Linked DNA regions of Arabidopsis thaliana. The protein of the gene in region 3 purifies or fractionates together with the protein of the main gene of each other region. This does not show direct contact. Each region holds a gene or a part of one and is shown on either strand. Other genes may lie near its edges. The genes, in order: AT1G13630, NADP-ME1, AT1G52380 and PUM5.

Evidence for each region.
Region 1: the proteins of AT1G52380 (region 3) and AT1G13630 purify together in Arabidopsis thaliana (affinity purification with mass spectrometry, with the first as the bait; one large-scale study listed by BioGRID). This does not show direct contact.
Region 2: the proteins of AT1G52380 (region 3) and NADP-ME1 purify together in Arabidopsis thaliana (affinity purification with mass spectrometry, with the first as the bait; one large-scale study listed by BioGRID). This does not show direct contact.
Region 4: the proteins of AT1G52380 (region 3) and PUM5 purify together in Arabidopsis thaliana (affinity purification with mass spectrometry, with the first as the bait; one large-scale study listed by BioGRID). This does not show direct contact.

The regions. Positions count from the first base shown.
Region 1 is NC_003070.9:4,668,901-4,674,669, reverse strand, and holds AT1G13630 (Tetratricopeptide repeat (TPR)-like superfamily protein), read left to right. Parts: upstream 1-1,596; 5' UTR 1,597-1,741; coding exon 1,742-2,186; coding exon of another isoform or gene 2,187-2,190; exon of another isoform or gene 2,191-2,280; coding exon of another isoform or gene 2,281-2,311; coding exon 2,312-4,362; coding exon of another isoform or gene 4,363-4,447; intron 4,448-4,534; 3' UTR 4,535-4,619; intron 4,620-4,817; coding exon of another isoform or gene 4,818-4,886; 3' UTR 4,887-5,245; downstream 5,246-5,769. Other genes in the region: AT1G13635 (DNA glycosylase superfamily protein), read right to left, coding at 50-422; RGF2 (root meristem growth factor-like protein), read right to left, coding at 5,445-5,648.
Region 2 is NC_003071.7:8,591,304-8,597,545, forward strand, and holds NADP-ME1 (NADP-malic enzyme 1), read right to left. Parts: upstream 4,257-6,242; 5' UTR 4,101-4,256; coding exon 3,979-4,100; intron 3,898-3,978; coding exon 3,777-3,897; intron 3,701-3,776; exon of another isoform or gene 3,675-3,700; coding exon 3,600-3,674; intron 3,518-3,599; coding exon 3,366-3,517; intron 3,263-3,365; coding exon 3,157-3,262; intron 3,069-3,156; coding exon 3,003-3,068; intron 2,928-3,002; coding exon 2,832-2,927; intron 2,744-2,831; coding exon 2,672-2,743; intron 2,573-2,671; coding exon 2,489-2,572; intron 2,409-2,488; coding exon 2,310-2,408; intron 2,231-2,309; coding exon 2,183-2,230; intron 2,108-2,182; coding exon 2,054-2,107; intron 1,978-2,053; coding exon 1,879-1,977; intron 1,795-1,878; coding exon 1,705-1,794; intron 1,606-1,704; coding exon 1,528-1,605; intron 1,444-1,527; coding exon 1,369-1,443; intron 1,278-1,368; coding exon 1,187-1,277; intron 1,101-1,186; coding exon 972-1,100; intron 892-971; coding exon 803-891; and 2 more. Other genes in the region: AT2G19910 (RNA-dependent RNA polymerase family protein), read right to left, coding at 4,517-4,750, 4,881-5,050, 5,145-5,452, 5,535-5,683, 5,766-5,991, 6,137-6,242.
Region 3 is NC_003070.9:19,506,977-19,512,147, reverse strand, and holds AT1G52380 (NUP50 (Nucleoporin 50 kDa) protein), read right to left. Parts: upstream 3,197-5,171; 5' UTR 3,043-3,196; exon of another isoform or gene 2,211-3,042; 5' UTR 2,170-2,210; coding exon 847-2,169; 3' UTR 507-846; downstream 1-506. Other genes in the region: AT1G52390 (uncharacterized protein), read left to right, coding at 1-99, 151-180; AT1G52370 (Ribosomal protein L22p/L17e family protein), read right to left, coding at 3,449-3,735, 3,861-3,927, 4,055-4,165, 4,272-4,424, 4,699-4,766, 4,973-5,096.
Region 4 is NC_003074.8:7,058,371-7,065,234, reverse strand, and holds PUM5 (pumilio 5), read left to right. Parts: upstream 1-1,862; 5' UTR 1,863-2,072; exon of another isoform or gene 2,073-2,357; intron 2,358-2,521; 5' UTR 2,522-2,574; coding exon 2,575-3,171; intron 3,172-3,258; coding exon 3,259-4,535; intron 4,536-4,652; coding exon 4,653-4,794; intron 4,795-4,872; coding exon 4,873-4,980; intron 4,981-5,081; coding exon 5,082-5,294; intron 5,295-5,376; coding exon 5,377-5,487; intron 5,488-5,580; coding exon 5,581-5,775; intron 5,776-5,846; coding exon 5,847-6,018; intron 6,019-6,102; coding exon 6,103-6,137; 3' UTR 6,138-6,364; downstream 6,365-6,864. Other genes in the region: AT3G20260 (DUF1666 family protein (DUF1666)), read left to right, coding at 4-420, 509-723, 800-1,045; AT3G20240 (Mitochondrial substrate carrier family protein), read right to left, coding at 6,519-6,775, 6,861-6,864.

The DNA.
Region 1 (5,769 bases), about 15 Mb from region 3:
AATTTCATTTAGCTATATATAATATTAGAGTAGGACATCTTGATCTTACCACTTTTCTTGGTGATCCAGTTGCACCTCTTTGGTTCATCACTACTATTGAAATCCTGACATAGTTGTTGTGGGATACTTTTTGGAACAAATATTTCTCTTCTGTGGGGAGATGAGATTAAACCGAGTGCCAGAGAGATCTTTTGTTCCAACGTCGAATTTGAATCCGTGGAAACAGAATCGGTCGAGTTCTGAGAGAGTGATAGAGATATAGAAGAGAGTGAAAATGAAGAAGAAGTGCTTCGTTGAAGCGTGATTGGGTAAATCCTCTTTAAGTGTTTGGCAAAGAAATTTGAGTTTTGTTTAATCTCCTTCTCTCTTACACTCTTGCTTTTCTCTACAATCTCTTTTCTTTTAGGACTTGCCTTATACATCTTTGATTTTGGAGTAAGTCAAAACAAAGAATAGCCACACACAAGTACTTATAGGAGAGCAATGCAGCATACAATGGAGTTTTTAAGTTAATGCCTAATTACACCTAAGTTGGTGAAATGTGGATTTTCAAGTCTGTGAAATTTTACCATATTTGAATATTTTCTTCATTGGTATGTATAGACGAAAGAAACGGCAAAATTTCATATAGATTTTATTTTAAATATATAGCTGAAAAAGACATACTACAATTTTTGCATTTACTTAAGTTGGTTTTAGATCTAATGCATGCATCAAGAAAGGTGACAAATAACCAAATTGGTGAAGTGATCCATCTTAGTACCTTTTCTAAATCTAATTTACTTTAAAAACTTTATCTGTTGGAGTTCTTCTTTGTGTACTTGATTTGAAATACTAATCGGTATATGTATAATTAAATTTGAGTATTATTGCATCATTGAACATTCATATTCCAATAAGTTTTCTGAATTTTGTCACGTTAAAGTAAGTGGAAAAAACAAATTGATATCTGCCATTAGATTAAAAAAACCACACTAGTCTAGTTCGCACTCAACACATCTTTCTTCAGTGGAAAATATGATTATTGATATGGTTACGGTGAATTAAATAATTATAAACCAGATTATTCTTAGCTTCTACTCTTTGCTGCTGCATGCTCTCATGTTTAAGAGAAATGAACGTTTTGCCTATTTTCGACAAAGAACTCTCATCCTTTTTTTTATGTATAATATATACTTTTTCTTACTACGTATTTGTTACTTTGTTAAAATGCATGTAAACTTTTTATAACATCATCATATATCAATTAAATAGTTTTAGTCTATTTACACTAATTCAATTAAAATAAAATTTGTTTTATTTTTAAATTATTTATTTTAATTTATTTCATTTATTTTGTTTCACCAATACTCTTTTTTTTTTAAAATTATCTTCATTTTTTCTCATTATTTCACCAATACTCTTCACAAAGAGAACCATGAATAGATGTAAATTATTTTAACATCATCATATTGACATACTACCTAATTTGACTCTCACTTTCTAATTTTTGTAAACCGTCATAAAAGTTGAATCGGAATATAAAATTGATTCGGTTAGTGATTAACCGAAATTAGGGTTTAAATCATAAACCCAATTATCTTAAAACCCTTTTTTATCTCCTCCGGCTGTTCTTCAAACTTGCCGGGAAAAGAAAACCTTAATTCTCTCCGGCGAACCTCAAATTCGCTTAATTTTCTCTGAAAAACGACAAGGGCATCTCCAGAATCCCCCAATTGAAAAACCCTAATCCCAAAATTCCATGATCTGTAGATGGATTGCATTCAATTCAAGCAAAGTGTCTCGTTCTCTCTCTCCTTTCTCTTCTCTCTTATTCACTAAATCCTCCTTCTCCGTCGCGAAAATGGACGATGAGTCATTACCCACAACCAATTCCACTTCCGATCACAGAGGCTTCTATAAAGAGATTCTCTTTGGGATGAAGAAGATTGGGTTCCGCGAGTTTCTTCACGGGTATCACTTTCGAGGTTTGGTTTCGGAATTGAGGCATGTTCATGTCGAAGAAATCATGGATGAATTGATGTCTGAAAGCTCAGATCTTTCTGTTTGGTTTTTCAAAGAGCTGAGAGATATCTATGCGTTTCGTCATTCGAGTTTTTCCACATTGTTGGTTTCACATGTTTTAGCTGGTCAAAGACGTTTCAAAGAGCTTCAAGTGATTCTGGAACAATTGCTTCAAGAAGAAGGCACGTCTTCTCTTTTCTTTTGTCTGCAATTTTATTGAAAGCTTACAGTTTTAGAGTTTGTTAGGTTTGGTTAAGATATTTGTTGGGGTGGAATATGATTTGTTGTATCAATTTTCAATGTTTAGGCTCTGGTTCAGCTTCTAGGCTTTGTGAACTTCTCTCTAATAGCTTCAGAAAGTGGGAGTCTACGGGATTAGTTTGGGATATGTTGTTGTTTCTTTCATCAAGATTGAGAATGGTTGATGATTCTCTTTATATCTTGAAAAAGATGAAGGATCAGAACTTGAATGTGTCGACACAGTCGTACAACTCCGTTTTGTATCATTTTAGAGAGACGGATAAGATGTGGGATGTGTACAAGGAAATCAAGGATAAGAACGAGCACACGTACTCAACAGTTGTAGATGGTTTGTGTAGGCAACAAAAGCTAGAGGATGCAGTTTTGTTCCTTCGAACTTCAGAGTGGAAGGATATTGGTCCCTCTGTAGTTTCTTTCAATAGTATAATGTCAGGTTACTGTAAATTGGGTTTTGTAGATATGGCGAAGTCGTTTTTCTGTACAGTTTTGAAATGTGGGTTGGTTCCTAGTGTATATAGTCACAATATACTCATCAATGGACTCTGTCTAGTTGGTTCTATCGCAGAAGCTTTAGAGTTGGCTAGTGACATGAATAAGCATGGAGTGGAACCTGATTCTGTGACATACAATATTCTTGCGAAAGGGTTTCATCTTCTCGGTATGATCAGTGGGGCTTGGGAGGTAATTCGAGATATGTTGGATAAAGGATTGAGTCCTGATGTTATTACATACACAATTTTACTATGTGGACAATGTCAGTTAGGAAATATTGACATGGGTTTAGTATTGCTGAAGGATATGTTGTCGAGGGGATTTGAGTTAAACAGTATCATCCCATGCAGTGTAATGCTCAGTGGTTTATGTAAAACAGGAAGAATAGATGAAGCTTTGTCGTTATTCAATCAAATGAAAGCCGATGGTCTGAGCCCTGATCTTGTAGCATATTCTATTGTGATTCATGGCCTCTGCAAGTTAGGAAAATTTGATATGGCTCTTTGGCTTTACGACGAGATGTGTGACAAAAGAATTCTTCCGAATTCGAGGACTCATGGTGCTCTTTTGCTCGGTTTATGTCAGAAAGGGATGTTACTTGAGGCAAGATCGCTTTTGGATTCTCTGATTTCAAGTGGAGAGACACTGGATATTGTTCTGTACAATATCGTAATTGACGGGTATGCAAAGTCTGGTTGCATTGAGGAGGCGTTAGAGTTATTCAAAGTAGTCATTGAGACTGGGATAACTCCTAGCGTTGCAACTTTTAATTCTTTGATATACGGGTATTGCAAAACCCAGAATATAGCTGAGGCTAGAAAAATCTTAGATGTCATCAAGTTATATGGATTGGCTCCAAGTGTTGTGAGTTATACAACTCTGATGGATGCATATGCAAATTGTGGAAATACCAAAAGCATAGATGAATTGCGCAGGGAAATGAAAGCAGAAGGAATCCCACCAACCAATGTCACGTACTCAGTGATTTTTAAAGGACTTTGCAGAGGCTGGAAACATGAAAATTGCAACCATGTACTCAGGGAAAGGATATTCGAAAAATGCAAGCAGGGACTCAGGGACATGGAATCTGAAGGTATACCTCCAGATCAGATCACATATAATACAATTATTCAGTATCTATGCAGAGTTAAACATTTATCTGGAGCATTTGTGTTTCTCGAAATAATGAAATCTCGAAATCTTGATGCTTCATCTGCTACTTATAATATTCTAATCGACAGCCTTTGTGTCTACGGTTACATAAGGAAAGCTGACAGTTTTATCTATTCGCTCCAGGAGCAGAATGTTAGTTTGTCCAAATTTGCTTATACCACACTGATCAAGGCACATTGTGTAAAGGGTGACCCTGAAATGGCAGTGAAGCTATTTCATCAACTGCTGCACAGAGGATTCAATGTTTCCATTAGGGACTATAGCGCGGTGATCAACCGTTTGTGTAGGAGACATTTGGTAAACGAGAGCAAATTCTTCTTCTGTCTAATGTTATCCCAGGGTATTTCGCCTGACTTAGACATTTGTGAAGTGATGATCAAGTCAGATGAATTGCTTTCCTGGACAATCAAATGGGGTTTGTTGCCTGATTAGTAATGAGAGAAGTTTTGTCTATTGTCCCATCTTATCTGCTAACTGCAGAAGGCACACACTTTCAGTAGAGAAACTGTCTCATGAGGTAACTGTTATTAGTATACTTTTACTGCATAAAGAAACTAAATAAGTTACGTAATGGATTTATCTGATGCTTTATTGTCTTTCTCAGTGATTCAGTTAACAGATTAATCTTAGCTACTGGATGGTATCATCGGGCAACAGTTGTATCACATTGACGACTTTGACGAATTGCGGTAAGTGATGTTTCTTTACCATTTTCATACTAACCTTTGAACTCGATAATGTGAACGTATGAGGCCTTTTGGTTAGATTGGAAATATGGAACAAGGGACTTTTACTTCTGTCAAGTTTTTAGTTTCCTCAACCCAAACCCTCTCAAGTGTCTAGGTCGTTTTGCTGCTTGAGTCTAAGACTGAATTTACTTTCTTCAGGTTCTTCTGAAGATGAAGTCACAGCTTGGTCAAAAACGGACGGGGGAATCAAAAGGGTCCGGCCAGTGACAACAACTCCAGTTATAACCTGCTTGGTCGTAAATAAGAGTATTTGACGGAAGTGGACAAAATGGTAAGTTCAGCTTTGCGTGAGGGATCCTAGGATTCTGGGCTCATTCAACTACAAACCAAGACGGGTGAAATACATAATCCATTTTTGTAACCAAAAAGCTTTTCCATTTTTCGACCAGATATCGCCAGATTTTTTACTGTAACTTCTTGATAGTTTGTTGTTCTTACTCATTCCAGAGCATATCTTGTCTGTCTGAAACATTCTTTTGTACCTATTCCCAACACTAATGTAAGATCAGCACATAATTAACTTAAGAGAAGGATAACATTGAGACAACACAGCTTGGTAATTATACATACCACTTTTTATAACTGAGACAACACAATTTGGTTATACATACCACTTTTTCATATATATAATTTGAACGATCGATTTTACAAACACAAAGCTCACAATACTCCATATACTATATGTATTTTGATATATATCTTATATTGATATGATAATAATGAGGAGCATTTTGTTGAGTCTCTATATAAATATGATAGATGTGATCAGTTGTTTTTGGGAGGATGGTGCCTTGGTTTCCAGTAATCAGCAGTGTAGGCAACGAGATCATCCTCTTCCTCAACATTTGTCTCTTTCTTTGTTGTCTTCTTCATCATCATCTTTGTCGTTTCCTTGCTAAACTCTTGTCCACTTCTTCCTCGTACTTGCGCCTTCTTCATTGCATCATCACCATCAAGATGCTTCATAACCTGCTTTACATGGTTATCATCAACCTCTTTAGATTATATACATGCATGTCGAAATTTCAAACTGAATGCAACCGCTATGTGAAATTCGCAGTTGTGAATGATGTGGAAATTGATTACATAA
Region 2 (6,242 bases), on a different chromosome or scaffold from region 3:
CTAAAATTGGAATCTCGCCATGATTTCTTTGGGCGAAGTTTGAGACATGTTGATAGATCAAGTTTTCTGGTGATTTTGGTCGGATTGAAGATTCCCGACGACACACAATTTTGCCAATGAACGGAAACTCCTATCTCTTCCACTTCCCACGTGTCTAGAAGCCTGGTTACCATTGGATACGTGTTTCATGTGCTGTCTACAACAAGCTTTCCTTCAATTTAGGGTTTCTGTTGGGCTTTTCTTTTAATTTAGTGTTATTGCCTGTTAATTTTGGCTTTATATTATTTGGCCTTGTATAAATAAATAAAACACAGTTGTGACAAAAAAAATAAAAAAATTCAAAACAACATATCTTGAAGGGATCTAGGAAAATGTACTAACTAGAGTTAAGAAAGTCATCTTAGCTAGTGCCAAAAGTATGGGATAAAAGCAAAATTGTGAGAGAAAGACCACACACGGATAGACTAATATATTCATTATTACACTCACTAATAAATTGACGTACAATATTGAAAATTGGTAAGTCTACAAGGAAAAACCACTCATGTTTACCCGTCAAACTAGCGATGTAAATTTTGCACTCTTTTGCCAAATATATAACATTTTCATCGTTTTCTATTAAACAAATTCACTTCATATAGTCTTTAACTTTCAGAGTTGCAAAGTTAAATGAGAGATCTTGGCATGTGTTTGAAATCTCAACTTGAAAGACTAATTTAATACTGGAAATTACAGAAAGACATGGGAATAACTGAACAAAGGATGAGAAGCACACAAAGTATAGACTCTTGAGTTTCAACTTTCAACGGTAGAGACGGTATGTGGGGCTGTACATGCTACTCTCTGCACATTTGACAATATCTTTCGGCCGTGGAAGCCGCCCTGCCAATCCTGCAAAACCAGCATTTCCACCATCAATATTCAAAACCACAATATAAGGCTGACTGCGCGAGAGAGAGAGAGAGACCGACCTAGTTCATACGCCTTAGTTGCTACATTGGCTGCAATCTGAGCTGATATTTTCCGGATGGAAGAGAATGAAGGATATATCATTCCTTTCTCATAGTTCTCTTTGCTTACTTGTCCAGCTAATGCCTCAGCTATGACGCAGAAACACATCATAATATTAGTAAACAACAAAGCTGAGAGAGCCTTTTACTTGTTTTTACATTTCGTAGATGCTTACCAGCAGCTAGAAGCATATCGTCATGTACCCGTATTGCTCCAGAGATAACCAAACCAAGTCCAAAGCCCGGGAATATGTACGCATTGTTCGCCTGTGTTTTAAGTAAAGCATAGATTTTTTTCTTAACCTAGTTCCGTAAACCTCAACGGATGAAGAGAAGAGAAACTATCTGTGACTACTACCTGTGTAGATACAAACACCTTTCCTTCATACTCAACTGGATCAAAAGGGCTTCCACTAGCAAAAATGGCACGGCCCTTCATTCGAAGAAGATCAGAAAACTTCATTTCTATCTGAAGGGAATACATATTGGAACAATGGTGCGGTGTGGAGAGACTTACCTTACTCCAAGTATAAGCTTCTTCGGCTGTACATTCAGATTGTGTTGTGGGGTTAGAGAGAGCCATTATCAGTGGTCTCTGCAAGAAACATATTGTTGGTTTCACTACCTCTTTAACCAAAACCATGCTTTAATAATTAATATGATCACTCATTCACTTGATAGGGATAGTAAATACCTCATTAATGGAGGACATGGCTTCTATCACTTCTTTTGTAAAAGACCGTCCAACGCCAGAAGATCCAATCAGAACAGTCGGTTTTATTGCCTGATGAGACATAATACTTAAGAGGAAAGAAGACAGATCTGAGATATAAGAGGACCATGACGCTTAACAGGAGAAATTTCAAACCTTGATAGCACCTAAGAGGTCTTTGACTGGTTCATGTTCATGAGCCCATGGTTTCTTAAAGTCTTGAAGTGAATCTTTGCGGGAGTTAACAATCAATCCCTATCAGAAAACAAAACTTGCATCAAAATGGTAGTTCCAATGAAATGTCTTATGTACAGTTTTGTATTCCTTCTACCTTGGAATCAACAAGCCAGATTTTCTTGCGGCTTTCCTCTACCGAAGCATTCATCTGCAGAAGAAAGATGTAATAAGTTGACAGCTACTCTCAAATTTCCTCTTATGTACAGTTTTGTATTCCTTCTACCTGTTTTGACATATAGAGAGCTATGAGTTCTGCTATTCCAGTTCCAGCCTGCAACAACCAAACAAGAAGACATAAGAAAACATTGAGTATAAAGGATGATACTGTGATTCCAAAAATTGATTCTTACTTCACCAGCACCAAGAAAGAGGAAGGTATGCTCTGCAAGTGGGCTATTCGTTAACTTCTGTGCGGAAACTAATCCTGCTAAAACAACTGATGCTGTCCCCTGAAATTGAAAGGCAAAGACAAAATTCTTTGGTACTATGAAGACAAAAAGAAACATAAAAAGAGGTCTTAAACTGTTACCTGTATATCATCGTTGAAGACGAGATGAGTATCGCTGTATTTTGCAAGCAACTCAAAGGCATTATGATTAGCAAAATCTTCAAACTGTATCAAATGAAAGATAACAATCCACATAAAAGAGCTTCAGTAATATTTTACTGAATCCTTCAATTATAGATCAAGAACTATGAATTCATTTCTTACCTGAATAAGAACTTTTTCACCATAGTTCTGTTTCACAGCACTCATGAATTCATTCAAGAGTTCACTATATTCCTGCAATAATGTTTAAACCTACTCATTCGTGGAAGTTCATATGATCATGTTTTAAGTTCTTAATAGAGTAGACTATACAAGAACAAACCTGTCCCGTTGCTCTCTTTTGCCTGAGTCCTATGTAGAACTCATCATTCAACAGTTTCTCATTGTTTGTTCCCACATCAATGGTGACAGGTAAACACTGCCAAAAGCAATATAGTCTCAAGTTCCTGACTCAGAAATATTGTTTAAAACCGTAGGACAACTAAACCATTACCGCTGAAGGACGAACACCTCCAAGTGCTGAATATAACGCCAACTTACCAACCGGTATACCCATCCCCTAAAGAGAGACAAACTCAGGCAAACAAACAATCAAAGTCATATTGTGATCACATCAAATCTGAAATGAAGCGATATCCGAGGAATACCTGACATCCAAGATCTCCTAATCCTAAAATCCTTTCACCGTCAGTAACAACAATAACCTGTATGTTCCTTTCAGGCCAGTTCTTTAACACATCTAGAATCTTTCCCCTGTTATGAATAAAATGGTTATGACATATGAGTAAAGCTAAAAGAGGGGGGGGGGGGGGGAGGGAATTGAAAATAATAAGATACAGTTACAAGCAATATATACTTGTCTTTTAAACTGATGAATAAACCCTGAGGTCGCCTGAAAATACTTCCAAATTTCTGACAAGCTTCACCAACAGTTGGAGTATAAACAATAGGAAGTAGCTCCTCAACATTATCTATCAATAGCTTGTAAAACAGTCTCTCGTTTCTTTCCTGTTTCAAGTCCAATAACAGATTCATTTTTCTCTGAAATACTAAACAGAAAATTTGTAGATTATATAGACAAGATTTTCACCTGAAGTTCTGTCAGAGCCATGTACTTTTGTAATGGGAATTGATATTGTCGGATATTGTTCAACAGCCTCTTCTCCTAAATCATTTGAAATCCCAAAAAAACCATTGACACAAGTTTTTTATGTATCTATATCCATTAGCGCAACCATACAGAATAACCAAATCACCAAGTTTTTACCTGAAGCTTTTGATCAAGAACAACTGGAGGGAGAAGACCACGCAAGTAATGAGTGTCTCTCTCTTTCTCAGTGAAAGCAAGTCCTTTGTTGTAGCGAGGATCTCTCAGCAATGAATATCCACTGAAACAAGAAACAGAGTTACTAACTTGAGTGTTAATTTAAACACTTAGTTATATTACCACGGAGAAGTTATGTTGCTACCTAGAAACAGAGAGAGACCAAGGAGTTATGTTGTGCTCAATGGTGGCTGAATCTTCTCCATACACATCAACAACGCCACCATCAACAGAGGATTTCAAGTCTGAGTTGGTCACTTTCTCCATCTTGAAAGGATCAATGAAAACAATCCCAAAAACAAAAAGCGAAAAGAAGTAGATTTTTCTAGGATCACAAAGGAAGAAACTTAATGGAAAGAAGAAAGGTCTGGAAAAGACAAATGGAAGCTTGAGGATGCAGAGAGGTGTCACACTGAAGAAGACAGCTTTGTACACCAAATGGACTCTGAAAGTGCCACGTACAATTAATTGAAATTAAATATAAGCATTAGTTTTCTTTATTTATTCCATAAGCAAACATACACACGGAATTACTTGTACACTAGATGACAAATCTTAAGTTATAACTTAAACAAAGGAAGTACACCACATAGCTTCGCCTATAAGTTCGGTTACCTAGGTCAGATACTTGTCTAACGCATCTTATGATACATGAAGACAACAAACAGGACAAGTAAGTCTGTTCAACCCAAAAGCTTTTTAAGCACAGACGTTGAAGCCACTACTGATTTATCCTTCGTTTTCTTAAGGTAAAATTTGCACAGGACCGGTCCTGCAACATTCCAGGCAAATGTACATTTCGCAACACCTTCCTGAATGGCATAATCGTAAACGACGTTGTAGAGTGCCAAGGCTTGGGGGTAGAGTTCTTCCAGACTTTTATTGCTGTCTTCAAACCCTGCAGCGCCATAGAAATCCTGATACAGACAGAAGAAACCGTTCAACCGATGAGTTGTGTTAAGAAGCATTATATGGACTAATCAACAAAAAATGTGATTCATGAAATCTATTGGTCAGATCTTTGCATTGGATTGAGCGAGAGCTTACCTGCTTGTACCTCTGGATAACTTCATTGGTTAATTGATTCCTCTTAACCTTATCAGTTTCCATCATCGCTTGGGACATTTCACTTCGGTAATTCTCGTACCAGGATGTAAATTTATCCATGTGAGACTTAGGGACCGGTTCATCTTCAAAATACCAGAGTTTACTGATTTCTGAATTGAAACATACAATATAGACGTTAATACATATTCGAGATGATGAGTTCTTGTGTACTCTGATTATTGATAGAAACTAGAAGATCCGTACCAGATGGTGGGGGTTCCTCTGCATTATGAGAATCCACAGTGTCAAAGATTAATCCAAGAATAGAAGTGGACCTGAAATCTCTCTTAGGGTCACGCTCCATGTAATGTGGAAAATTTTTGATCTCTAGATCGGGCGGGAGATCAACCTTAGCCCCCTTTTTTGGTGCATCAAGAGCATCATAGTATATATCAATCAACTTAAGAATATTCTTCTTCCTTTCATATTTTTCCTTAGCACTCTCATCTCCTAAGGTGAGGAAAGGGTCCATTATTCCTAGCCAGCAATCTGCAGCCATCCCTATAACGTCTCTGTAAACCGTGAAAACAAGGCATATGTTAACTAAACGAACTATTGTGAGCTTGAAAGTAAGCCGACAGTTAAATTATGTACCTCTTACAAAATCTTGCTTTTAAGAACATTTTGAATAGCTCTTCTTCCAACTCTTCTTCTGATAGTTCACTTGGCTTTCTTCCACAGTAAATTTTACTAGGTTTAGAAGAACTCACCCATGGTTCACTTGGCTTGAAGTGTTCCAGTAGCTAAATAGACGAATTCCGGTTCACAGGTCAGGTCTCAGCAATGAAGAGTTTATTTTCAAATGTGATGGATATAGCAGAGTACCTTGGGATTTCTGGATATGAAATACATATCGCCATCAAAGTCACCACCAGCAATCTCATCGCCCAAGGATCTTGGACCTTTCTGAGGGAAGAACACAGCAAACTTGGCATTTCCAACATAGTCTTCTAAGGCCTTAACATAGGTAGCCTTAAGTACATGTATGTCTCCAAAATGTAATCCAGGATTTCTGTAAACTAACACATCCCCGGAAATTTGGCCAGAATGGCTACAAAACCATGAAAAGAAAGCAGTGAAAATGAGCAGCTACTTGTAGGGAAGAACTCATAATTCCAAGGAAGCTAATCACTGTTTTTTGATGATTACATGCAAAACTCAAAGCGAAAGAGAAAGAGAAGAATTTGCTAGCCTACAGGATGACACAGATTTCATTTTCCTTAAGCTCCCCGGTGGGATCCACTGTGCCCATGATATAGTATGATTCGTCAATAGGAAACCTTCCTGCTTTGAGAGCATTCC
Region 3 (5,171 bases):
CAATTCTGGCCATTTCTTCAAGGTTTGAGATATAGAGGTTTCAAACTTTTTGCAACAATCCCTGATAGGACTTTACCTGATGATGAATGTCTGACGGCGGTAATGTGTGCTAAGTACATAGTGTCTTGGAAACACCTTTCACTGTGTAAGGGCATAGAAGATACTGGTTCTGATGACTAACCTCTGTGCGCAGCAGGTCTCAACTACCCCCTGGTTTGGCAACAATGTTTCATCATTCTATGTAACTCTCAAAACATTGACCTTTCATCTTTCTTCTGTTAAACTTTTGCTGTTTTATTCGTGTTTCACTTCTATTTTCAGGCTCTGCTTTTCCCAACTACTAACCTCTTTAATCAAAACACTCTAGCAACATAACTACAGTACTAACACATGTCAAATTTTCTCAGTAACCCAAACCCACCAACTTTGTACTCTGTGAATCTTAGATCAATTTTATACCGATCTTTATAAACCCAGCTTTACAAATCCAGATTAATTGACAACACGATTAATCTACGATTTGAAGAACACATCTTAAGCCCTTAAAATCTCAGGACCAATTTGAAACCTATCTGGTCCAGTCACATTCATATGGTGGAACATAAAAAGAAATCAAGGATGCAGATTTAAGTCATATATGGTTTCCTTCTACAAACAGAAACATGTAACCAAAAAGTCTCAACAACTGTGTAAAAAAAACAACAAACTTCTCCAAATATTTTAGTTTTCCTCTGCCTCAAAATTCAACTACTTGGAAGTAACAAGACAAGACAAAAGACAAGAGAGACGAGAGAGACGAGAGAAGTGTTTCTACATGTTTTTTCTTTTTTTCTTTTTACCTTTTCTTCAAGTATCTGTAGCTGTTGGAGAGTTCTCAGGTGTCTTCAGAGGAAGAGCTGATTTTTCTGCTGCTTTCTCCATTGGTTTACTATCTTTGTGTTTGTCAATGGCTACACGAAACTCTTCAACAATTGTCGGGTCTTTGAACTTCAGTGCAAATGTAGAGAGACCTTCTTTGCCTTCGCTTACACTATTCACACAAGCGAATGTGATTCCCTTTTTATCCATGTTTGCAAGTTTCATCTCTGGGTAAAGACTCGCGTTTAAGATCAATCTGTAGTTTCCTTTAGCTCTCATAACTAATCTTGCTTTACCATCATTACTGGAGACGTTTACCTTGAGTTCTCCTTTTCCACGCTCTTTCCATCCTCCATCAAGATATTCGAACATGATCGAGTCAGCTGAGAAGGCAACTTTCTCATTCTCTTCACCTGTTTCTGTGGAAACCTCTTGCTTTGGCGGAAACCCACTACCTTCACTCTTCTTGATAATGGACGATCCAGTTGCACCGAATATAGAAGAGCTATTGCTGCTTGGAAGGCCAAAGCCAAAGAGAGACCCAGTACCAGTTGAACCATCCTGAGAAACCAAACCAAATGAGAACGAAGACCCTGAAGCCTCTGTACTGGCAAGTCCGGTGAATGCGTTTTTGTTACTTGAATGCTGTTGGAATGAGCTGAAAGCACCATTATCGCCATTCTTATCTGCTTCCTCAATTCCGTTGCCTTCTTTTTCTTTTTTCTCAGCCTGATCACCTCCTGAATCCTTCTCAAGAGGAAAATCAGTTTGGTCTGTTCCTTCAACAGCGTTGTTGCAAACGTTTGTGTCACATGAGACCATCTGAGCTACTTCTGTAGCCGCAACTTGGACATCAGCACTCTTTCCACAATGATTATCATCCTTATCTTTAGTCTTTTCAGTCTCTTCCCCAACAGCATCTTTGACATCAACCTTCTTACTGTCAACTTCATCGCCCTCCTCAATATCACTTGCTTTTTGATTGTCCTCAACTACTGCTTCAGCTGGAGCCAATTTTGACTCAGCCAGAGGTGCATTTGTTCCCACAGGGGTTGAAGCAGGTGCAGTCGTAGGGACCAACTGAATTCCAGCAAATGGATTGGATGCTGCAACTGGAGCAGCAGATGGCTCTTTGCGCTTAACTCTGACAATTCTTCTACTAGCCAAAACCTCATCACTGGCCTTCTTGAAAGTTCCACTCTCAAGTTCAGCTGAATCATCATCATCATCAAGACCTGGATTATCACGAGACAGCTGCTTCAAGGCACCTCTCTTTTTTGAAGGTTGCTGAACGTTTTCCGAGTCACCCATTTGAATTGTTATGAGAGAATGTCAACACACTTGTCAAATACCTAATAAAAAAACACAGACAAACAAAGAAAGTCCAATGAAACAATACCCTTCAAAGATAATAACAGATAAAAATCCAATTTTTGAAAACAGAGATAAAACATTACAATGCAAAACACCGTTCCAAAGGTAAAACACACACACCGGATCAGTTTGCAGCCACAGATGATGATGAGTAATGCCAAATCTAAGAAGACAAAAGCTTTAACATGACAATGCAATGGAAAGTGAAAACTACAGAGGCTGCTCGTTACCTTATGCAAATATCCAGAAAGCCTTAAAATGTATTCAAAGAAGACAGCTAATTATATGTTAACACTCCAAGGTAAGGAACAGAAGAAGTAGGGCTAAACTTAGATATAAGAAATGCAAATACAGTGACTTATAAATCTAAAACCAATGAAAAATTCAACATCAGTGACTTTGTTATTATCCTCAAATCTATAAACCTAGATGAAAAGAGATTTTAAATCGGAGGAAACAAAAACCCAAATTCGATTTTAGGAACCTATCAAATTTAAGAGAAACTCCTGTTAGCTGCAACAATCGAGTAAACCCCAAAGCATCTTCAGAAATTATTCGATGAGTGAAGAAAAAATCTGAAACTCGATCTCAACACGAGTTAAATACCAAAAACCCTAATCATCAAAGCAACTATCAAGAACCAAAATAAAAGAAATGACCGGAAACTATTTCCAGAACAAACAAGAGCATGACAAAACCCTAGAATCAAAGTAGCTAACCCTGAGACAAACCATTTCCGATAAACCCGATAATGAAGAAACCTAAGATTCGAAGAAAGTGACCGGTGACGAGAAAATGGCAAGGACTTACCGTAGCAGGAGCCGGAGCCGCAGCAGTAGCAGAGAGGGAAAAAACTAACGCCGGAGCCAAAGTGGTCAGAGACGAAGAGAGAAAGCAAAAGAGGTTTATAGAGGAAAAAACATCCAGCTCTGTATCTCTCTCTCTTTCTCAACTTTTTTATTTTTATCGACATTTGTGTGTGACTTCAATTATTTTATTTTATTATGCACAAAAGGTCACATTGAAAAATATGTTATTCGTGTTAATTATGTTTACAAGATTACAGTTTTCTTCGATTCATATAAATTGAAAAATGACTTTTCTTTTGGTTCCTGTCTCTGGCAACATATCTATTGAATGGAATAGTAACCAATTACCGATACAAACAAGTACCATAAAAGAGAAGCTCTCGTTACAGTTGCCGGAACAATGATACTTAGTGAGACGGTACCAACTCAGATGACCTGTGATTGCCTTTGGTACCTCTGCGGTTCCAGATTGGACTTGTCTCGATCAACTTGTGTGGTACCAGCTGTCTCTGCCGCTTGTTTAGCTTCTTAAAATTGTGAACTTTCAGCCTTGCAATCTCAGCTTCTTCCTCTGCAGTCGTCTCTCTGACTATGACTGTTAGACGACACCTGGGTATTGATATTATCCCGCTTCTTCCTTTTGCATGGTAAGCTACCTTCTTCCCAAAGAGTCCCTTCCCAACAAACGCTTCCGCTGCATCACACATATCAAAAGAACTTAGATGAATTATACATCCTTCTCTGACATATATCATGTTTCCTTCTTTAGTGTTGCAAAACAAGTCAGTCACAGATCCGGTAGATCAGTAGTATACATACCAACAAGGAGACGGTCAGGATCTAGTCCATGGTTATGAGTAGCATTTGCCCGCGCAGCATGTATAACCTACATTATGAGACCAAGTTGTATGCTAAGTATCATTAGATGAGGAAATGTATCAAATGCCTCGAGAGGAGAGTAGACCAGACACTCTAAAAGTGATTTGTTTCTGAACTCGAATCTCAGAGATTACCCGGTACACAGTTTGTGAAGCTCGTTTGACCGTGACCTGCAATTGCATCAAAGCATCTTCAACACGCATGCCACGGACTAGTGCTGCAACCAAGTTGACCTTCTTAGGACTCTGCAATAAGTAAGGTTTGGGCACATTATATAGCGCATATAACAAATCAAGATGTATACATATCATCTAAAATGTAAAACTGTACTAGGAGTTAGAGAGAACACACCTGCTTTATGGACTTGAGGACAGCCTGAACTTTCTGACGCTTTGGGATAATCTTCTGCTCTTCTTCTTTTCCACTACCCAGCAGAGCTGGAGATGACAAAGGTGATGATACAGGCTCCTCACCCGCCTGCAATTGTCTTGAGGTAGAAATTCCCTGAAAACATACAGATTTAGATCAGAGAAGAATGAAGCAGCATACCCATAGATAACATAGTTCTCCACAGATGAATGGTTTCAGGAGATGTGTCTTTTCGCATAATTCAGATAGATAACAGATGTAGTCATTCCACTAGCACATTTAATCACTTCCCCTATCCCACTAACAACAATTTTGCTATATTAAATTACTAAAGCAAATTTATCAAAGAGGAAACGAGAAACTCCAGTCTCAATAGAAAACAAAAGAAACATCGATTCAGAAGCATTACCAGTTGTTGTAGATGATAATACAGTGGTCTTGAGGAATAGGTTGATCTCAAGAGACTCTGCAAATAACCTAGTTCAACAGCAAAAATTGAAAAAAAAAAAAAATCATCACCCACTCAACTCAAACACACAAACACTATATTAAAACAAAAATCCAAGATAACACCTGACATTTTGAAATTTCACTAAGAACACAATAGATTCAGAAATGATTTAACATTATCTAAACCGAAATGATCAAAACTAAACAGCTTCAAATGGTATAATATTCACCACCTTGTGAGAAAGGGGATTCCAAATTCCGTGTGGAAGAGTAATTTGCCGTGGAAATGTGACTGTCCTTAACTCTTTTACCAACTTGACGAATAACAATCTGTAAATTCTTCTGCCAACCCGCCATTATATTCTACCCTAAACCTTAGTCTATGCTTCTTCTGCAGAAGATGGTAAAAAAACAATCTTGAACAAAATAAGT
Region 4 (6,864 bases), on a different chromosome or scaffold from region 3:
TAGGCATTGGAATTGCTCCAAGTCCTTCAACTCCATCGCCAAGATCTGCATCTAAGAAGCTGTCATCGCCTTTCCGATGTCTTTCTCTCAAAAAGTTTGATGTTCCGGAGGAAGATATCGAGCATTTGCAGCCGACAGAAGTTGACGACCCTTATCAAGATCTAGAGACGGCCTATGTTGCTCAACTCTGCCTCACTTGGGAGGCACTTCACTGTCAATACACGCAGCTGAGCCACTTAATCTCATGCCAACCCGAAACCCCGACTTGCTACAACCATACTGCCCAACTGTTTCAGCAATTCCTAGTCTTGTTGCAGAGGTATATAGAGAATGAACCGTTTGAGCAAGGCTCAAGATCGGAACTTTATGCTCGTGCTAGAAATGCAATGCCTAAGCTACTTCAAGCTCCTAAGATTCAAGGTGATTTCTCAGCTCTCATACATTGCGCGACTTAAAACCTTATGTGTAGTAGTAACACTTGAAGTTGGTTATGTTCAAAACATATCAGGGTCAGATAAAAAGGAGATGGAGAAAGATACAGGCTTCATGGTCCTCGCTGATGATCTCATCAAAGTCATAGAGAGCTCGATCCTTACTTTCAACGTCTTCTTGAAAATGGATAAGAAGAAACCAAATGGGGGTATTCACTTGTTTGGGAACCACAACAACAACCATGTGAATTCTACAACTCCTTTACTACTGGTTCAGTCATCCATTGATAAGGTACGATTTCTCTGTACTCAAATGTTATTACTATCGTATGCTTCTTTGGTGTCTCATAAGAGAGGAACTTTTGCAGAAAAGGGTGAAAGCAAAGGAGCTTTCAAAGAAGACAAAAGGGCTGAGAAAGAAATCATGGCCTCAAACATGGGAAGGTGTTCAACTCTTGTTTGCAGCCATTGACATCAAACTCGCAACACGGGTTTTGAGGATGTCGAAAATCAGTAAAGAGCAACTTCTATGGTGTGAAGAAAAGATGAAAAAGCTCAACTTTTCAGCTGGGAAGCTTCAAAGACACCCATCTCCAATTCTTTTCCCTTGTTGATATAATAAAGTGATGAACACACAATGATTTCAAATACTGTAGCATCAACTGTTCCCTTTTTATACGATCTTTAAGATCCGGTTTGGGGATTTTTCTTTTGCAGACAAATCAAAGAAGAAATTGTGTGTGTTGTTCCATTTGCTTTCATTCATTCTCTTGGCAATAAGAGTCCAATTCCAAGAACACACTTGGTTTGGTCATAGATTCACTATTAAGGGACCATTTTCATTGTTGTCGTTTGGATTTAGCACATATGAAAGAATCCAATGTTGTCTTGTTGATGGGAAACTAAATCCATGATCATGATCATGATGGTGATAGAAAAGTCTTATTCTTCTATCACTTTCATTGTTTTTGGCCAAAGTCTTTTTATTTCTTTTCCACACTTTCCTATTTAACAAAAATCCTAAGAACTATAACTATAAAACTGTTGAACAGTGTTCAGGTTCTTAAAACAAACAATTAGAATTTCTTAATCCAAAAAGAAGAAGAAACAAAAACAAAAAACTTAAAGTGTGTTTTGGTGGTGGCGTAGTAACAGGCAACAGAGACAATGCCACGTGAACGTATCTCTTTCAACTAGAAGTGTCAACACGTGGCAAACCTAGTCACCAATTTGGAGCCAAAGCTTGAATGACCAAAAAGGGCTTGCTTCACCACCACCGTTAAAGAACATGCTGAGGGGTAGTTTAGTCATTATAAGGAGACGACGACCTCTTCGTGTGCGAATCCGTCGTGATGCTGAATATTGTAATGTTGTTAAAAATGCGATATCGAAAAACTCTTTAAATAAAATTTTGTGTATTAAATTAAAGACTAAAACCTTACAATAATTGCCGAGAAACAAAAAAGTGTTAAGATTAGTCTTGACTTGGTGACTCGACGAAGCCCCTTGAAGCAAACTTTTCAAAGGGTTTAGTTTTAATTTCTCTATCTCTCTTTTTCTCTGGGTCTCTTCTCTCTTCAAACATTTTATTTCAAGCTCTTTGAGAAAACACTTTCATGGAAGCTTGAATATCACCATCAGGTACTTAACTCTGCCTCTTCTTCCCTCTTCCTCTCTGTATCTACTTTTTTTTCTTCTACAAGTCATGCAAGGAACTAGTTTATGAATAGAAAATGATAAAGTTTAAGTCTTTTGTTTAATTTTGATCTCTGATTATAGCTTCAGGATATGATTCTCTGTTTGTGAAGAGGTTAATGAATGAGTTCAACGGTTTCGTGTGCTTTTATAAAGATGGCGTCTTTTGATGATCTTGTTGTTGTTTTTCCTGATTATTGAGTTGACTGAATTTTTTAGCTTCAGGAAATGGTAAAAATCTTAGTCTGAAATTTCGATCCTTGATATGTAGATTTCGTTCATGTCTTGTCGATTACTTGTTTTTTTGTTCTTGTGATTAATGAAATTTGGGACCATATCTTAAAGTTCTTAGCTTTTTGTTCTCTTATGGACTAAGGTTTTGCTCTATGTGTCAGGTGTTGTGAAATTTACTTTGTATGATATATAGAAACTTGATTATAATAGAAGTATGACGACTACGCAGAGCGCTATGAGAATGGTTGAGGGTGATCATATAAAAAATTGGCAGGCTTCTAGTGATAGTGGGATCTTTGGTTCACTTGATATGGCTGTTGAAGATTTAGGATTCCTTATGAAAAGAAATAGGTTGGATAGTGGTGATCAAACCGGTAAATTCCCTAGTAGAAGCGAAAGCGCGCCGCCTAGCATGGAAGGTTCCTTTGCAGCTCTTAGGAATCTCTTGAAACAACAAGAAGGTAGTAGCTCTGAAGTTTTAAGTAGGGCTATTGAGAATTATGACTCGGAAGAAGAGATACGTAGTGATCCTGCTTATGTAGCTTACTATTTGTCGAACATCAACTTGAATCCGAGACTCCCTCCTCCGTTAATCTCACGGGAGAATCAGCACTTGTTGCGTCATTTTGGTGATAATAATCAGAGTCCAACAACTTCTTGGGATAATATGGGGATAAGATCATCTTTGCATTCTTCTAGAACTGCTCTTTCAACTCATAGAGAGGAGCCCGAGGATGAGGCATCATCGGGTGAACAACAATCTTATGCTTCTTTGGCTGGTCGTCGTAAGAGCATAGCTGATATGATTCAGGTACATGGTTCCTTATTTTATTACTAAAATATTAATTCATTTTACATAAAGGAAGATTTCCCTCTTACACTTTCTTCTGTGTTCAAGCGGCCTCATTCGGCAGGAAATCGTCCAATAGCACAAGACATCCATGCCATTTCCTCTGATACATCTTCAGAACACGCAAGAAGATTACCGGAGTCCGATATAAATTCGGTTAATCTGCTGAGGGAGACAGATTCTCTCTCCAGCGATGCTATTGCTAGTGAAGATCCCTTTACCACTGATTTGGCCTCACAAAGTTTTACTAATGCACAGACAGAGAGATTGAACGCGAGGCAAGCGAGCCATGAGGACAACAATCTATCTGTTTTTGGTGCTTCTCCTCCATCCTCTGTTGCTTCAAGAATGAGGAGGAACCAAGAAGACCAACAATCTCAGGGAAGGAGAATGCCTCCACAATACACACCTTCATCGTATCAGGTTCAAGCTAGTTCGCCACAGCAAATGAGCTATCCGAGGATAGGTGGTACACAGGACATGATGCAGAGCTTACCAAAGATTGCAACTGGCGAGGTACATTCGACTTTCCAATCTCCTCACGGTTTGGCACCGCCTCCTATGTATACATCAACAGCAGCATATATGACATCTCTGAGTCCATTTTACCATCAAAACTTTCAGTCCTCGGGTATGTTCGTCCCGCAATATAATTATGGTGGTTACCCTCCTGCTTCTGGTATTGTCCCTCAATATATGAGTGGATACCCATCTCATGAAGCGACTGTTCCTATGCCATATGATATCTCATCTACTTCTTCGGGCTACAACAACCCTCGGCTCCTGCCTGGAGTATCATCGAGTGGACAAAACATTCCTTCTCTTGTGGATCCTTTTCAGTTGCAATATTTTCAACAGGCTCAAGTGGACGCGTATGCTCCTCCGTTTCAGAGCAGCACTGATTCTTTTGGGCAGAAAGACCAACAAGCTGTTGGCTATATGGCAAATCATGAACCTCTCAACAGTCCATTGAGTCCGGGTTACGGGTTGCAAAGTCCGCGGCACATGGGAAACTATTTTGCAGTGCCGCCTGGTGTAAGAGTAATGCCGCAGTATCCAGGATCACCTCTTGCTAGTCCGGTGATGCCATCCTCACCGGTTGGTGGAATGATGAGCCACTTTGGAAGACGAAGTGAAACAAGGTATCATCAACAAGGGCCAAGTAGAAACACTGGGATCTACCCTGGTGGATGGCAAGGGAACAGAGGGGGAGCCAGCAGCATCGTTGATGATCTAAAAAGACATTCTTTTCTTGATGAACTTAAGTCTCCAAATGCTCGGAAACTCGAGCTTTCTGATATTGCAGGGCGTGTTGTTGAATTCAGGCAGTGTTTCTGCTCCGAATCTATCATTTTCTTTAATTCTGAAGTAGTGTTTTGAAAGGTTCAAAAGAAATGATGTCATAGTAATCTTAATTTACTACTCATTTTTCTGAACTTCAGCGTCGATCAGCATGGCAGCCGGTTTATTCAACAGAAGTTGGAGCACTGCTCCGATGAGGAGAAGGCATCTGTTTTCAGTGAGGTTCTTCCACAAGCTTCAAAATTGATGACTGACGTTTTTGGAAATTATGTCATCCAAAAAGTGAGCCACTTTTTCTTCTTCTTTTTTTCTAAGCTGAAAAGATCTTGTCCATAAAATACATTGTGATTTTTGAATCAGTTCATAGAACATGGAACTCCGGCACAGAGAGAAGAACTTGTGAAGCAACTTGCTGGTCAGATGGTTTCACTAAGCTTACAAATGTATGGATGCCGTGTGATACAAAAGGTAAATTTATTAATTTTACTTTCCTTATATCAATGTCAGTATCTTGAAGTAAATTGTAGTTAAGTTTCCATGTGCTTGTTTGTACCTTATGATATTTATAGGCCCTTGAAGTGATAGATGTTGACCAAAAGACAGAACTAATTCGTGAGCTCGATGGGAATGTGCTGAAGTGTGTTAGAGATCAAAACGGAAATCATGTTATCCAAAAATGTATCGAGAGTATGCCTGCTGGTAGGATTGGATTCGTAATTGCTGCTTTCCGTGGTCAAGTCGCCACTCTTTCTACTCATCCTTATGGATGCCGAGTTATCCAGGTAATTGGAAAAGAGCGAGCTCTGTCTCCTCTTGTACTCTGAACTTGAAATATTCATTATTTTCCTGTCTGCTTTGTTATAGAGAATCTTGGAGCATTGCTCAGATGATGAGGAGACTCATTGTATAATAGATGAAATATTGGAATCTGCGTTTGCTCTTGCTCATGATCAGTATGGGAATTATGTCACTCAGGTCTGGTTAATCTCGGATCCATTGTCCCTCTTGGAATTGTCTTGAAATCTTTTTGTTCTTAATATTGTGCTTTGGCTTATGTTTTTCTTGTAGCATGTCCTGGAGAGAGGGAAGCCCGATGAAAGGAGACAGATCATTGAGAAGTTGACAGGGAATGTTGTTCAGATGAGTCAGCACAAATACGCATCTAACGTTGTAGAGAAGTGTTTGGAACACGCTGATAGTACCGAAAGAGAGTTCCTGATTGAAGAGATAATGGGCAAATCCGAGGAAGACAATCACTTGCTAGTAAGAACAAAATCCTAAAGATAGCTCTTTGAATCCTCCTGGACTTATTTTAACACTCTTTTGTTCTGCAGGCGATGATGAAGGATCAGTTTGCAAATTACGTGGTCCAGAAAGTCTTGGAGATCAGTAAAGATCAGCAAAGGGAGATTCTGGTGCAGAGGATGAAAATTCATCTCCAAAGTTTGCGGAAATACACATACGGGAAACACATAGTAGCCCGATTCGAACAACTGTTTGGTGAAGGTACTTTTCTCTAAAACTAAAACTTGAGTTGTCAATATGACTCTGCTAAAGAAATCTGAACGTTCTAATATGTTATTGTTACAGAGAGTGAAGTCTCAGAAGAGGGAACAGAAGGTTAGACAGAAGATTTTCTTTTGGGTTGCAGATTTGTACAATGTTTGACTTAGACAAATATGTATTTGAAAATGCTTATGTATATATGCTTGTATCTATGAATGGAAGTGTGATGGTATTACAATATGTATATGGTGTGGACATGATCTGTGATTAATAATTTGATTTGCTTCTTACTTCTTTGTTTTGACGAGAAGAACACAGAGAATTAGCCTCAAGAATTAAAAAAAACTCATCTTCTACTTCTCATGGGAATCATAACACTCCCAGGTGCCAAAAAAACATCTCATGTCCAAGCCACCACATTCCCTAAATCATAACTTAGAAATGTGATGACAGGCTTTAGCTTTAAAGAAACAATAATAACTTAGGTTACAATTTCGTCATTATATGAGTGGTTTGGTGTTGGCGGCAAGCAAAATATCTTTCCAGGCTTCATAGAAGACCCAAGTAATGCCTGAAGATGGCATGACTTTCAAACAACTTGCTCCCCATCCTCTGTAGAGTCCCATCACTCCTTCTTTCTTCACTACTTCTGCTATTGCTGCAGCCATGTTTGGTGGGCATTCTCCCTTCAGAGCTCCAACCATCAACCGCTTCCGCGCTACTTCCAAGGGGAAGCTTATGGTGCTCGCCGTTAGACCTGACCCCAGTCACAACTCAATGAGTCTTAAACATGATTTAAGTAAGGAAATACTGTAAAGGGAGTGGTTTCTTCAATTACTTACCAGC